Linked DNA regions of Mus musculus. The protein of the gene in region 1 interacts with the protein of each later gene in a pairwise test. Links are inferred from orthologs where the notes say so. Each region holds a gene or a part of one and is shown on either strand. Other genes may lie near its edges.

Region 1 (2,280 bases):
CTGTTGCTTGCTGAGAGCTACTCTCCTGGAATCTAAGCTGGAGGAGACAGCTTGAGTCCAGAAAGAGTGATTCCGCTGGAAGGGGGGATATGAAGCCCCTTCTACAAGATCTGAAACTTCCAGGCACTCTGATCTTTGTAGTCCAGAGGGTCCATGGGATTGTAGGTAAATTTCCAGGTGCCTGTGGGGTCCTTGAATTCCAGGCTGTCCACAGGACTGTAGGTGCTATAGCTCTGGCCTGACAAGGAGGTGGGGGACTGGGCCAGGGATGGCCCCACAGAGGGGCCTGAGAGGGGGCTGAGAGCCGGACCCCCAAGTTGGGGCACCATGGGCGAAAGGTAGGGATCCAACCCACTGAAATAGGAACTTGGAGATGCATAAGCTGAAGGGGAAGAACAGAAAGCAGAAGCCGGGGCATAGGTCATGGCATAAGGGGCTGAGGTGAGAGAGGGCCCAGAAGCCACTAGGCCGGCTCTCTGGGCCTCAGGCAAAGGAGCCTCTGAGGCTGGACTCCAAATGGACACGGTGGCCACTGCTGTGGTAGGTGAACCTGAGGGGCCAGGCAGAGATGGGCTGTAAGAATCTGAGATGCCCAAAGGATCTGTACAAACATCTGTAGAGGGTCTCGGGGATGTCCCTGCCTTCCTCTTCGCAGGACGAGCCTTGGTCTGTGCCCCCGGGGGCTGCTGTTGCTGTTTCTGCTGCTGTCGCTGCTGTCTGCATTTCGCCCTACGATTCTTGAACCAGACCTAGATAGAGAGAGGAAATATGGGGGGAAGGGGAGTGAACTCACATGCCAAGAGCAGACAAAGCTGATGGTAAGACCCACACATCACCACTCTGCATCCAATGATAGGGCAGCTCTGTCCATGATCTGTGTACCTGTCCAATCATGCATGTACACGTGCACACAGAAACCTACATGCACTGATCACACACACATATCATACATGCAGGCAATTATACACTACATGCATATACCAGTCATCATGTATCACCTACCTACCTGATTGATCACACATGCATACATACAATCATACATTATTCTCACATAATATGCATGCAGTCACACACACATACACATACATGCATTCAGCCACCCACCTGATCCCATGAATATGTATGCAATTGTGTATTGTCCTCACATATATACATGTAATCATACACATATGAACATATTATATTTACTTGTTCCTGCTTATGAATGCATGCATTATACTCACATATCATACATACAGTCATGCACGTATGAACACATTATATTAACATGCTCCTACTCATGATTATGTATATGTAATCATACATGCATTATAGTCACATATCATACATGCAATCATGTATCTATGCATAAGTACATATATGCATAGATACATGCCATCATGATACATGATACAGCCAATTTCATAGTACACATATGCATGCAATTTTACATATAGATATAATAATACCAAAGCTAGGGATGTAGCTCAGTGGTAGAGCATACACCTGGCATACACAGGGCATCATATAAGAAGAGTGACATATGGAACGTGAGGGGCATTTAGACCACTTCATAAATATGGCTGCTACCCTTGGCTTCTCTCTTTCATCCACTCTGGATCTGACACAGGCCCACAGAAAGTTACAGTAAGGGTATGAGGGGTCCAGGGAGCAGATCATCCTACCTGGACCCTGGACTCAGGCAGATTGATCTTAAGAGCAACCTCCTCACGTGCATACACATCCGGGTACTGGGTCTTGGCAAACAGGGCCTCCAGCTCCTCCAGCTGGCTCCTGGTGAATGTGGTCCGCTCCCGCCGCTGCTTCCTAGGGGCACCTAAGCGGGGGCAAATTAAAGAACCCTCAGGATAGCTAGGTCTGCTCGCCAGAGGCCATGAGGTACAGAGGAATACCTGTCCCAAAGACCTTTCTTCACGTCCATCAGCCTAAACAAGGAGCTTTGATTGATTCTCTGGCCTCCTAGTGGCTGCTCAGTCCCCAGAGGAATTGAGGAATTGTGTTCCAGTCATTCATTCACTGACAGAAACTGGTTTTAGCCCTACAAGAATTTGCCCTTCCATTTTGTTCTTGTTTCATTCCTACCCCCTCCTTCCCTTTCTTCTCTTCCTTCTCCTCCTCTCTCTCCCCTTCCTCCTTTCTTCCTACTTCTCTCTCTCCTATCCTCCCTTTTCTCTTCCCCTTCCTTTTATCCCTCCCCCTCTCTTTCATTACAACAGGGTTTCACTACATAGCCCAGGCTAGCCCTGAAATCATGGTCTCAAGAGATCCTCCTACCTCAGC
Region 2 (3,526 bases), on another chromosome or scaffold:
AGCATCTACATGAAAAGTATGATATCCAGGTAATTCTAAACAGAGGATTCCAGAGTCTCACTAGCCAGCTACAATAGCCACTCAGTGAGCCACAGATTCAGTGAGAGAGAATGTCACTAGGAGGAAGAGAAAAACAAAGATGTGGGAAATAAGCAAACATCAACCTCTGACCTCTAGAGATGCACACACAAACACCTCACGCACATAAGTTGTTTTGAGTAATATACTTAACCTGGACAAGATTTAAAGAACGAATACAAGGAAAATATGTGTTGGTTTACAATGCCATTTTAATATGAGCTTGCAGGGGATCCTAAAATGAATTCCTCAAAACTCGAGGGATAATGGTTGCTTTAGAATCCCTAACAGCTTTTGAGGAATGAATGTATGCTTTAAAATGCTTGTTCAGTACCCAATCTTTGTCTATCTATAGAGGATCATTCAAAGTAACATTTAGATCTCAGCTTGGTAAATCCAGAGAACTTTTCCCTCTTCCCAACAATTCTCTTGTTACCTTATTCTGTATCTGTACTTTATTTTTATCAATTATTCAGAATTGACCAAGATGGACCCAGAACTCACAATTCTAGAATTACAGGCATGTGCTATCATGGTCAGAAGACTCAGTGGCTTGCTTCTCTTTTCTTTCAGACAGGATCTTACTTTGTAGTGTCAGCATTCGGAGAGCATAAATTACACTTGAGTTACACCTGGTTAAAATTTAGAGAGGTTTAAAACCATGTTTGTTATTACATGTGTTTTTAATGTAATATATGGGTGCACATGTGTCACAGTGTATGTGCAGAGAAGTCAGAGGACAATTTTGAGGAATCTATTCTCTTCTTTCATCTATGGGTTCTAGCACTGGGTTCAGGTCACTATTTCTGCTACAGGCACTATACCTGCTGAGCCACTTTACCAGCCACATTTAGTGGGGTTTGATCTTCTTCTTCTCCCCCCTGCTATTGTGAGGAATTTTCTTACTCTCTATGATCACTAATGAGGGAAATGCAGTTGGGCATGGTACTCACCTGTAATCCCAGGAACTAAGGAAGCTGAAATAAGAGTATGTTTTGACTTTGAAGGTAGTCAGGACAACATGGAATACAGTATAAAATCCTGTCTCAAAATAAAAAAATAAGGGCTGGCGAGATGGCTCAGCGGGTAAGAGCACTGGCTGCTCTTCCAAAGGTTCTGAGTTCAAATCCCAGCAATCACATGGTGGCTCACAACCACCTGTAAAGTGATCTGGCACGTCTGAAGACAGCTACTGTGTACTTATATATAATAATAATAATAAACAAATAAATCTTTGAGCCAGAGCGAGCAAGGACTGAGGGAGGAGAGTTGGAGCAAGAGGAGGTCCTAAAATTCAATTCCCAACAACCATATGAAGGCTCACAACTATCTGTACAGCTTGAAGCTCTCACATTCAAATGCAGTGCTGGCCTCTACTTTTCTGTACTATTCAAGCTCTCTAAAGCAAATAAGTATCTGTGGACTTTATAGTTTACAATGGCTAAAGATATTATCAGTCCATATTAAATATGAAAGATTCCACACTACAATAAAATAACTTCCAGCATTTCTAACATCTGTATAGGTGTGTTGTAGCTATCCTAAACTGTGAGAGAAGAGAAAAGTTTATTAACAGGCTCCAACTAAATATTTCCTCTTACCTGAACCTGCTGTGGCTGCTGAACCTGGATCTGCTGCTCTTGCTGAGTTTGTGGTTGAACACTGGTTGTGACTGGACAAGCAAGTTCAAGCAAAGACCCAGCCACTTCAGTGCTGTCTGTATAAATGCAGTTCCCACCCTGCTGGTACACCATGGTGGTGGTGGCAGTCTGCTGGAACTCCTGAAGAGCTTCTGGTCCCTTAGAAGCCAGTGAGTCCAGAAATTCCTTCATCCTGTGTTGCGGGACAGACCTCGCCTTTACTCGGATGTACTCTTCAAATGAGATGGTGTTCTCTAGAGAATTATTCATATTGCAGAGTCCTTAGGGTTCCTAAAATTAAAACGGATAGTCAACACTCTGCTGTTAGCATATTGGTTTTATATTTTTTACATTAATTATTGGGGTATAGGCATGCACATGCCAAGACATGCGTGTAGAAGTCAGAGGACAACCCACTTAAGTTGGTTTTCTCTTTCCACCATGTAGTTCTCAGGGATCAAAATCAAGTCATCAAGCTTGGCAATAGGTGGCTTTACCTACTGAGCCACCTTACCAATCCTACTGTTTGTATATCTTGAAATCACGAAATACACAGACACAATAACTGGCAATGAGAATGAAATAGTCTGTGTATTATATATAACATCATATATACATATGTGTGTGTGTGTATACATACACACACACACACACACACACACACAAAATACTTAAGTTTTATATTAAACCTTCCCTTTCTCCCCAAAATAAATTGTGGGTTTTTTTTCTTTTAAATAAGGTTGTTACTATGAATCCTTGGATGGCCTGCAACTTGCTATGTTGACAAGCTGGCCTCAACTCCAGAGATTCACCTGCATCTGCCTTGAGAGTTGTGCCCGTCTCCATGAGGTATTTTTGTTTTTTAATGTTCAGTGTGTGTACAAGATAATACAGAGCACACATGCCATGACAAGTGTACAGAGGCAGAAGACTAAGTTTGTACAGTTTGTTCTTTCCTACCACATTTACACGGGTTCCAGGGTTGAAACTCATAGGCTTATATAAGTGCCTCTCATCTGCTGTTAGCACTTCACCAGCCCTTGTGGCCCATCTGTGCTAGATTTCCATGTAGCCCAGGCTGGCTTAGAACCTAAGGAAATTCTCCCACTCCTGAGTACTGGGATTACAGGTGCAAGCCAGAATAATATGCTCATCATCTTTCAATATTTTGTTTGATTTTCCTAGACAGGGAACAGCCCTTTGTAACAGCCCTGGCTATCCAGGAACTCACTGTGTATATCAGGCTGATCTTGAACTCATAGAGATCCACCTGCCTTTGCCTCCTGAGTGCTGGGATTAAAGGCATGTGCCAACACTGCTTGGGCCTTCAACAGTTCTTAAACTATCATACTTAAAAAAAAAATCAAGCACATTCAAGTACTGGATAGAATAGGCTGGAATTATATTTTCCATCCAGCACCAGGCCAATTTCATCCTCTCTATGGAGTCAAGAATTAGACAGTAATGTGGCATGCAAAACCACTCCCATGCCTGTTTGCATATACCCTTCTTCAAAGGACTTAAAAGGCAGATGCAGGTGGAAATCTAAAGGTTTGAGACCAACCTGGTCTACAGGGCAAATTACAGGCCAATCAGAGTTATAGAGTGAGACCCTAACTCCAAATAAATAACTGTCCTAATACCACAGAAAAGAATACCAAACAAGGGGAGGGAGATATGAGCAGATTCCTACTTACTGACATGTTTTTGTTTGGTTGGTTTTTTTTTTTTTTTTTTTTTTTGAAACAGGGTCTTACTATGTAACTTTGTCTGGTCACCTGGCCCTTACTGACATTTTATTTCTACTA

Evidence for each region. The genes of interacting proteins can lie anywhere in the genome.
Region 2: the proteins of Crx (region 1) and Qrich1 interact in binary tests that used the Homo sapiens proteins (3 or more experiments, as listed by UniProt). The two-hybrid records come from large-scale screens. The link is inferred for Mus musculus from reciprocal best matches to the Homo sapiens genes CRX and QRICH1.

What each region holds. Positions count from the first base shown.
Region 1 is NC_000073.6:15,867,679-15,869,958, forward strand, and holds part of Crx (cone-rod homeobox protein), read right to left. Parts: intron 1,817-2,280; coding exon 1,665-1,816; intron 750-1,664; coding exon 102-749; 3' UTR 1-101. UniProt on the Homo sapiens protein: Transcription factor that binds and transactivates the sequence 5'-TAATC[CA]-3' which is found upstream of several photoreceptor-specific genes, including the opsin genes.
Region 2 is NC_000075.6:108,527,072-108,530,597, reverse strand, and holds part of Qrich1 (glutamine-rich protein 1), read right to left. Parts: intron 2,010-3,526; 5' UTR 1,989-2,009; coding exon 1,680-1,988; intron 711-1,679; exon of another isoform or gene 613-710; coding exon of another isoform or gene 583-612; intron 1-582. UniProt on the Homo sapiens protein: Transcriptional regulator that acts as a mediator of the integrated stress response (ISR) through transcriptional control of protein homeostasis under conditions of ER stress.